3 linked regions of the Drosophila melanogaster genome follow. The protein of the gene in region 1 purifies or fractionates together with the protein of each later gene. This does not show direct contact. Each region holds a gene or a part of one and is shown in the gene's direction. Other genes may lie near its edges.

The links.
Region 2: the proteins of ATPsynF (region 1) and Cpr78E fractionate together in Drosophila melanogaster (co-fractionation; one study listed by BioGRID). This does not show direct contact.
Region 3: the proteins of ATPsynF (region 1) and ATPsynE purify together in Drosophila melanogaster (affinity purification with mass spectrometry; 2 studies listed by BioGRID, with this or other methods). This does not show direct contact.

What each region holds. Positions count from the first base shown.
Region 1 is NT_033778.4:24,598,566-24,601,905, reverse strand, and holds ATPsynF (ATP synthase, subunit F), read left to right. Parts: upstream 1-2,084; 5' UTR 2,085-2,139; exon of another isoform or gene 2,140-2,206; 5' UTR 2,207-2,210; coding exon 2,211-2,289; intron 2,290-2,408; coding exon 2,409-2,653; 3' UTR 2,654-2,814; downstream 2,815-3,340. Other genes in the region: CG3548 (uncharacterized protein), read right to left, coding at 294-797, 926-1,445, 1,521-1,858; CG13587 (uncharacterized protein), read right to left, coding at 2,815-3,007, 3,073-3,340. UniProt on the Drosophila melanogaster protein: Mitochondrial membrane ATP synthase (F(1)F(0) ATP synthase or Complex V) produces ATP from ADP in the presence of a proton gradient across the membrane which is generated by electron transport complexes of the respiratory chain.
Region 2 is NT_037436.4:21,665,952-21,668,818, reverse strand, and holds Cpr78E (cuticular protein 78E), read left to right. Parts: upstream 1-1,838; 5' UTR 1,839-1,862; coding exon 1,863-1,874; intron 1,875-1,940; coding exon 1,941-2,342; 3' UTR 2,343-2,367; downstream 2,368-2,867. Other genes in the region: CG43980 (uncharacterized protein), read right to left, coding at 2,799-2,867.
Region 3 is NT_033777.3:14,324,791-14,328,235, forward strand, and holds ATPsynE (ATP synthase, subunit E), read left to right. Parts: upstream 1-2,156; 5' UTR 2,157-2,337; exon of another isoform or gene 2,338-2,393; intron 2,394-2,462; 5' UTR 2,463-2,500; coding exon 2,501-2,746; 3' UTR 2,747-2,945; downstream 2,946-3,445. Other genes in the region: Afti (aftiphilin), read right to left, coding at 1-1,288, 1,347-1,491; spn-B (spindle B), read left to right, coding at 3,421-3,445.

The sequences.
Region 1 (3,340 bases):
TAATACTAATTTCTTGAAAATGCAATGCCTGTGAGTTCGTCTCGTGCGAATTGCACAATAAACAACAGTCCATTCGTCCGAGTGGCAACTTGAGTGTGTCGATGAGTATTGTATGCGCGTCCGGCGTTTACGTTTCCGTTTCCGGTTACTCTGGCTGACCGGAAGAGCTACATTTCGCTAAACATATTTCAAGCTAAATTTTAAAGTACTGTTGATGTTTCCTCTAAATGCCTTACACCCTAATTGCTGGCTCTCTTCGTATTGTATATGCATATGGGCCAACAGCCACGCCCCTAGTTGCAGGCGGCATTGAGCGCCAGCGCCCCCTCCGCACTGGTCGATGGCCCGACCTCGTGGACATTGTTGTAGTCCGCTTTGGCATTGCACTTTGCTGAACTCTGATCCTGTATGCTTCCGTTCAGGCCACCGCTCTTCAGCGAGTAGATCCCCAGGCGCGCCTCGTGCTCCCGTCGTTGCTGCCGCAGCCGGATGTCGTGCTCCTCGCGCATGTGCCGCAGCTTGAGGTCCTGCTCCTGCCGGTAGTAGGCCATCTTCACCTCCTGCTCCATCTGCTCGAAGCGCAGCTTCTGCTCGTGTTCCCGCCGGGCGTAGTCGATTTCGGCCAGACGGGCCTGCTTGAGCAGCCTAAACAGGTCCTGCTTGTACTTCTGCTCTATCTCCGTGGCGGCGACCAAATCTAAGGACTGGCTATTTGTGTCTGCAACTGGGGTGGCGCTCGGAGCTGCGTTGGTGGAGGCTTCGTTCTCGTCGGACAGCAGCGACTGGGCCTGTGAGAGCTGGTTAACGATGAGATAGTATTATTAGTAAGAAAGATTAAGATTCCCCTTCACAAAAATTTGCAACTTGTTCAGCTAAACCTTAATTAATAATAATAAATAAACTTGCGGCTTGTGTTCAAACTCACATTCCTTTGTCGCCGCTTTCGTGGTGGGCCTACGCCCTTTTCGTTCTCCTCCCCCGTTTCGCCGGACGTTTCTGTCTTGGCGCCCGAGGGCGACTGCTTGGCCTTGGTCCGCTTGCGTCGCTGGGCTGGCAGCTGGGCGGGATTTCCCTCCTGCTGGGAGTCCCCGTCTCCGCCAGCAGTGGAGGGCGGCGGCGAGGGGATGGCTATTGTGGAGGTCTGCAGCGTGTCCTCGCTGGCGTTCGTAGAGTTGGGCAGAGCGGCCAGCGGCATGTCTTCGTCCTCGTCGATGTCCATGAGCTCCTTCTTAAGAGCGCCGTTTGTGTTCGCGCTGCGTGTCTGACTGCGCGAGGTGACCGGATCCTTCTGCATCTCCTCCAGGAACTCGATCATCCGCATGCCTTCCAGGGCCTCCGTTTTCGGATGCTTCTGCTGGTGCTCCCGCTTGGCGGAGTTCTTCATGCTGCGCCACTGCACCTGGATCTGCTCCAGCAGGCGATGGCGGAAGTTAAGGGCATTGAACCTGGATGGGGGGTTGGAATGGAAGGAGTGAAGGGCCATTATAAGACGAGCTCCACTGCCCAATGGCGCAACTTACTGCTTGGTGATCTGCGACCAGGCCAGACGCTTGGCCTTTATGCTCTTGGCGTCCACGCTCCGGTTCTCCACGAAGGCCACCTTGGACTTGATGACCTCAAGGAGCAGCCCCCTTTCCGCCTCCTCCCAGTTAAGGGAGCGTTTCTTGCGCGTGCCCTTCTTCTTGCCACCCGCGCCTTCCTTCTCGCCAGCATCCTCGGCCGCATCCTCCGCGTTCTCCGCCCCCTCGTCCGCGGTGGCGCTGCTTGACTTCTGCGGCTTCAGCTCCACCTTCTCGTCCTCGTCGTCGTCCTCCGGCGGAGAGGAGGCTCCCTTGGTCAGCAACTCCTCCAGTTTCATTGTTTTTGTTTACACACTGGATTCGCTTTGGCTGGATTCTGATTCGAATGCCCAGGCTTGCAAAAATCCTATTTGATTTCTGTATATACTGGAGCTTAGTGATGTGAGAAGTGCATCGTGCATCGGGCATCGATATATTCGCTGTATCGATGACGTAGCGAATACATCCTCCCTGTTAGCGGAGACGCACACAATAAATTCGCACATAGTATATTTCGGTATATTGGTCGATGAAAATCCCAGCTCTCGCCGCTTTGGTCATACTGTCAGTATCGAAGGAAGTAAGTAGCAGGCGTAATTTTATGTTTCATAAGAATCCGATTTAAGAATATATCTCAACCAAACCAGCGCGATGGCATTCGGTGACTATCCAGCTGAGTACAACCCCAAGGTGCACGGGCCCTACGACCCCGCTCGCTTCTACGGCAAAGGTGAGCAGGTTACGTAATTTTTGCGGCAGGCACAGAGCACATTTGCACTGCCCAAAAATGTGCAGCGTTTTACATAATTTAAACAACTTTCCGACCTCTCCGCTCTCTCCGATCCGCAGCCGATGTGCCCTTCGGCCAGGTCAAGCTGGGCGAGATCGGCGCCTGGCTGGGACGCCGCAACAAGACCCCCAACGCTGTGGCCGGAGCTGTGAGCCGTGCCTGGTGGCGCTGGCAGCACAAGTACGTGTTCCCAAAGCGCGCCGGGATCGCTCCCTTCTTCCAGCTGACCGTCGCCAGCATGACGTTCTTCTATCTGATTAACTACACCAAGTTGAAGCACCACAGGAACTACAAGTACCACTAAGCGGCGCTGCCCGGTGGTCCTGCATCTGCAACAGATTCTACACTTTCCACAAGGCGTGCGAGAGGCGGGCAATCACCACTAAACTATATCTATTTGGCTTTTGTGTTTTGAAAACTGCTTAAGTGAATAAAACGGCTGCGAATATCCATGCTGCCATAGACTCAGACTCGGTCTCTTCCGCACTCGAAGACTGCATTTGGGCCGATGTCCAGCTCGGAACTGGACTGCTCCCAGCCGAAAGTTGACCGGGCCGTGTGGATTTCGCAGATAAAGGGCAGCTCCCGGTCGCAGTTCAGGGTTTGCCAGGTTCCCTGCGGCGTCAAGGCCACGCAGCTGGCGTTGCCCAGATCACCACTGCAAATTCGGTTAGATTTAGAGAAGATAGCATTGGCGGCTAACCTAATAAACTGTCAGCCTACCCAACTCGAGGATGACCACCATCCCAGGCTCTGTAAAGAAAGCACTGCAAGCTCTCCCCTTGGGAGTTCCTGAAGTCCAGTGGGCTCAATGACGTTGAGCTGTTGTAGGCCAAACCCACATAGGCCAGATAGACATTACCTTCTGCCAGAGACTGTGATTTCCTGTTGAATTCCACTAGCCATTGGGCCAATAAACTGGTTCTGTGTTCGGATGCGATGTGGGCCAGACTACCAGTGAACTCCGAGGAGTTTGAACAGGTCAGTGAGG
Region 2 (2,867 bases), on another chromosome or scaffold:
TGAAAAGTGGATACACAAATTCTAGTCGATTTGTCTTTTTCCGCTTACTGGCGTTTCAATTCCACAACGACAGGAAAGGGAAAAAGGCGTATTTACTATGAGTTTGCTCAGCGATTTGCAGGTGATCCAGGTGTATATAGTATTAGTAAGTATTTCATCGTTTGGTGATATACACTCGAGAATATATTTCATCTGACTAATCAAAGTCAACTGACGCAACGACGCATTCAACTCATTTTACGGCTCATCTGCGATCATTATCATCAAAATCATGAGCATCTAACAAAAAGTCATAAAGTCGCCAAAGCCGAAGAACTCTAATTAAGTTTAAAGATAGAACTTTTCATGTTTTCTGTGCAGCTTCGTACGTTTTAATGATCTTTTGGTAATTAAAAGTTGTGAATGGCAGCGAAACTTTCAGTGCAGGTATATAAAATCGTACCGAAAATTATTCGGAAATAGCTTATAAAAATCTATTGAGTATCGGAACACACAGGGGGACAACACCCAATGACTAAATTCCTAAAATTACAGCATTTGGGAATACGTATTCCCATTCACTGGTACAAAGCACATTTGGAAATCAAACACCAAGGCAGAGAAAACTCAAAATCGTGCCAGCAGTCATGTGCTTAGTAATTTTTCTGATTGCTCAATACTCAAACGGTATTCAGGATTTCGATTAATAATTAATTATAACACAGCCCGAACAAAGAAACAATATTTGCCAGATTCCCCGATCATGCGGAATCGAACAAATTGCTTCGTCCGCCTTCAGCGATCCAATGGATCCAAATCGGGGCATCTTCGACTTGGCAAATGTATCGAAAATTAAATGTAAAATTTATTGTTGCATAAACAGAATGCCAGGAATCGGACCGCATCCGAATCGAACGATGCGTATGTGCCACCTTTAAGTATTCAGCCCTGCTCATCCAACCATCCCACCTCCATCTCCACCTCCGGGCCCATCCCCATGCCCATTCCCAATACCGTCCCCTTCTCCAGCTCCATCATATGGGTCCCCAGCATTTACATCTTCATCTGACCGGCTGGTACTGCTATGTGGAACGCATATAGTATGGTCGGCTGGAGAGGATGGAAGATTTGGTGCAGCCTCATGCCCACTGGCCAAAAATAACATCAATGGGAGCAGGCAGGAATCAGCGCGAAGACGGACGTCGTGTGTTTGCTTTGTTTATAGTTTTCGTGTAAACAATTGGCAGCGGAAAACCGACTTCCCGCCGTGTTGGCGTTCGAGAAAAATTGAATCTGGAAAATGCCCAAACAACACAAGCAGCTGAAGCTCAAACAATGTAATGAAAAGTGGCCAGGGCAACCGAAATAGAACTAATGCTTATTGGTCATTATTTTCCACAAGCTAAACGAATACCTTACGAAAAATGAAGTAAAAATCTTCGACTTAGAAATAATTTTTAAAAGTAACATATTTTCAGTGATCTTTTGAAATGACTGCAAAACATCTTAAACTTTTTTTTTTAATTCTCCCGAAACCGAATGCTACTATAGCAGAGATAAGTAAGTGAGACCCTGATCCGGGGTCGAACATAAATTAGGAATCTCAAATTGCAGGCCGAGATTCGAAATTGCAATGGGAGATGGCAGATGGGCCTGGGTAAGAAGCTCGCTCTTTAATTAATTCTTAGAACGGGTTTCAAGTAAATACCCGCGGACTCAATTTGTACATATGGAGTGTATGTAAGTGAGTGTCTGGATGCCGGACGATAACCGGTAAACAAGGCGACCAGCAATTCCAATTCCACTTCAGTTTTGGAAATATAAAGAGCAGTCTTCCCTCACTCGGAGTCAATTCAAAGCCAGCTTCCCCTCCAGACAGCAGCATGTTTAAGATTGTGAGTATCGCGCCGCCGAGAGGCGATCACTCCAAGGATTAGCCCATTCCTAAACCATCTTTCCAGCTCATCGTCGCCCTGTCCCTTTGCACGGCCGTCGTGCTGAGTGCTCCAGTGGACCACGTCACATCCACCACCCAGCCACCGGTGGCCATTCTCGAATCATCTCACGAAAAGCACGAGGATGGATCGTACAACTTCTCTTACCTCGGCGAGGACGGCACCCACAGAAGGGAGGAGGCCGTGGTCAGAAACCAAGGCACCGAGAACGAGTACCTGGAGATCAGCGGCTCCTACTCCTACTTCGATGCCAACGGACAGGAGGTGACCGTCACCTACAAGGCCGATGACCACGGATTTGTACCAGAGGGCGGAGCAATCCTGCCCCAGATTTCGCTGGCCGCCAAGCAGGTCAGCGAGCAGGTGCCCCAACCAGATCTTGACTATGCTAAGCCTCCTAAGGTCTAATAAACGAGGCACTGAAATGGAATCTAATTGGTGTTGTTTTAGTTGTGTTCTCCAGCAAAACATCCAGATATAATTGCAAAGTAATGGCTGAGAACTCGAAATCTCCGATGAGGGAAAGGTGATTCAATATTTGAATGCTGCCTCCATTCAAATGAAAGATTTGGTAGTTACAATTTTACTTCCTTCATTTAATGCAGAAACAATTTCAACTACCAATAATAGCTAGAGGACCGCCTGCTCGGCCATCTTGGGGTTCGTAGAGGTTAACAGTGCGCTGAACAAATTGAAAATACAAAAATACAACTAGGAAGGTGGGAAAGGAGGTCGGGGCGGGCAGGGAAACTATTATAATACATAAAAGCTCAGAGATTAAATTAAAAACAATGCAATAAATAAGAATTCGATTTCGTCGAGAGAGAAGTGTGTGGAAGCAGAGCTCCATCACTTCACTTCACTTCATTTTTTCACAGGCGTGACCGGGGGCGATCGGTAGGAGTTGACCAGACCACCACCCGAGTTGGGCTT
Region 3 (3,445 bases), on another chromosome or scaffold:
AGGGCGTGTCTCATTTCCGAGCTGCTCCATTGGTAATCAAGGGCTTGGGCATGCTCTATGGCACCAAAATTGAATCGCTGGCACTGAGCCAAAGGCCTGCGATTGTCCATACTTTTGCTGTCCAGTTCCGTTGGTTGTGGAAACATCATATCAAGGACTGGCTTAACCCTTTCATCTATGCTCAGATGGACAGCAGCTGGCGGCGGTGGCGGAGGTACAGAAACAGGAGTCACTACGGGCGCGGCGAAGTCGCCAAAATCATCGTCGTCTTCGCTTTGACCGTGGTTTCCATTCGCAGGAGTGGCAAACTCCTGAAAATCATCGAAGCCATCATCGGTCTCTGCAGGAGGTAACTTAGAGGATTCTTCTGTGCTAGGAGCCGTCTTAACCTCTAGAGGTTGAGATTCCGTTCGGGAATTGATTGCTAAGGAAGGTGTCTCAAAGGCAGACGTTGAATTCTCCGTGATTTCTAGTTGGGGTTCTGCTGCTGAGAAATCCGCAAAGTCACCGAAGTCATCATCATCTTCTTGCTCTTGCATTTCGGGAACAATTTCTTTGTGTACTAAGTCTTTTGGCGTCGCATCAAGATTTGTAAATGAATATGTATCACTATTTGCTGGTTCACCCCATTGGTGAGGGGATTCCTCCTGATTTGGAGGATTTGATAAGCCACGGCTTTGATTTTCCATAGGCTTTTCTAAGGTATTTGAACTTTCCTCCTGGGCTTCCAAACTTCTAAAGCTTTCTTCTGGCTGGGAGGTATTCTCTACGTATTCTCCTTTCCCTGTATCCACATTCTCCTCCGAAAAGCCTTCTCCATATGGTAGGGTTGGAGTGGCCAATACCTCTATGGCAAAGAAATCCACAGCTCCCTCGCGTATAAATAGTTCTTTGGGCTTCTTTGGCGAGCACTCCTCGTCGCTGTCATCGGACACATCCTCCAGCGTGACTTGGTGGCTGAGGATATGGGCTTTGGTTGTTTGCATAGCCGGCGGAGCAACTGCACTAGTCTCCGCAACCGGTGAGAGTGTGGAGGCGGCAGAAACGCTTTCCGTGGAATAGAGACTTAGACTGTCCAACTTAAGGGAGGGCACATGCTCCTCCAGTTCCTCATCATCCAGTTCCAAGCTCAACGGAGGCGGCGTCGGCGGTGCTGTTTCCTCGAAAACATCGTAATCCATCTTCTGTTTCACCTGGTAATTAAATGCCTCGACGGTTTGTTTGTCTTCCAGCAAATCAGGTGGCTTTTCTCGAAATTCCTCCACGGGATCTGGTGGTGGAGGGGGTTCTAAAAAGCGAGAATTAACTGAGTATCACTTTGAGATTCGATAAATATCTAAGCTTGCCTTTCGAGCTGCTGACTAAGCCAAAATCTGAGTATTCGTCACCCTCGTCCAAATGGATGGTGGATTGTAAACCGGAATCGTCGTCTTCCTCACCAAAATCGATGGGCGGGGGGGTGCTGCAGAGCAGCGGTGGTACATTCACCATAATGCCAGCTGCAAAATTCAGTAAAAGGATCCCCTAAAATTCACTTCCTGCTTCAAGAAGAACAACAAAAACGCTGGGAACGGTTCGATCTTCTATCTCTCTCGCTCCACTTTATCACTGTGTGTGTGGTGTGTATGTGTGACGCAGGTGTGGAGGGCCTGCAAGTGTGTGTGTGTGTGTTAGCCACTCAAGGTCTGTGTTGGAATTTTCTTGTTTGCATTTAACACGCGTCAATTTTGTTGTGTCTCTGTATTATGTCTAATTGTCGCCTTATTGGTGGCTCTAAAAACAGATTTGCCGAATTTGCAAGTCGCGTTTTATCTGCAATTAGCCATGTTTTCCAGAAAACAATACTTTTTCCTCTGCCCACAGTGTGAACGTTTAACTTTTGGCCAACCGACAGTGCTGAAAAACGTTGCGCAACATTGATAACATACAAAATTTGAATCTTATCTTTTTCAATTCCCATTTTCGATTTAAATCATTATCCATAGTTCAGATAGAATAGTTATATTAGTTATATTTCTATAATAGATTTTTATTCTTTCCAATTCTTTTACCGTTAAAATTGTATTTGAAAATTATTAGTAACAAGAGTAAAATATACATGAAAGTCTAGGCTGCAGTATGTAATACGTCAAATTTTGTTGGGACACTAAACAACAAATAGTCGTCATAAAGGCTTCTTTTAAATTGTTATGATATTTTCCACAATTTCTGCATACTTTTTTAAGCTTGCTGGCAACGCCGCCACCGTACCAATACAACTATCGATAGCCGCCTGTCAGTTTTGACAGCTGTTTTAAGGTTATACTGCGCTGCCGTTGCAATCGCTCCACCAATTTGGTAATTTTGCTTATTTAACATCAAATATTGCATAAAACTAGGAAAACCAGGAATCTGTAAAGTGGAGCGAGACGGGGAACGCTATTAAGGAAGTCGGATAACTAAAGTACATCCTTTTCTTGCAGTTCACGGTCGGACAATTACATAACTTGAAGAAGAAACCATGTCGCAGGCTCCCGTTCGCGTTTCCCCGCTGATCAAGTTCGGCAGATGGTCCCTGCTCCTGGTGGGCATTGCCTACGGCGCCGCCCACCAGAGCCGCCTGTCCAAGAAGGAGGAGAAGTTGCGCGAGATCGAGGCACAGCAGAAGGCCGTCCGTGATGCCAAGCTCGCCGAGGAGAAGAAGCGCAGCGCAGAGGCTGAGGCCCGTGCCTTGGCTGAGCTTTCGAAGCCCACTCCCAAGCACTAGGATCCTTCAGGATGCAACATCCGCAGTTCCCTTAGCTTAAAAACATTGAAAAACCACAACATTTACACACGAAGTTCGCCCAAAAGGAGGAGCATCATCGATAGTGGAGCCACCATCTATCGATCACTGACTATCGTTTTTGTGTTTTCCTCTGATGCTTGTGCAAAAAACAGAATGTTCGAAATTAAATGATTGAAACAAAACCATTATGTAAATACTCTCAAGTGTTTCGTGTTTGTGATTAAGTGGTGTTCACTGGAAATATATTTATATTAGCATAGTGTTTGGATAGGAGAGGATTGAGAGAATTTGAGAGGGTTTGAGCTCCAAATTTGACTAGGAAGTACATATAAATATTTTTGCAAATTGATTATCAATAATTTTCCTAAATTTTGTTTTAAATCTTTTTTGATAAACAACAACTGATAGTTTACCTTATTGGATGCCCACTGTAGTTGCCAGCTGATTGGCCCACTTAAGATATTGGCGCCAACAGCTGATTTCAACCGGCGTTTATTTACACTTTCAATTCGCTCGCAAGTCGTCGCATGGCTCGGCTGTTTGATCAATAATCCCCCGGAATACTTCCAATTCCGGAGGTGTTGAGACACCTTTCGTGTTTCGGGGAGCCATTATATCACGCAATCCCATCGAGGACATGCCATCGCATCGCGATGACAAACTTTCTGGATCAATTGC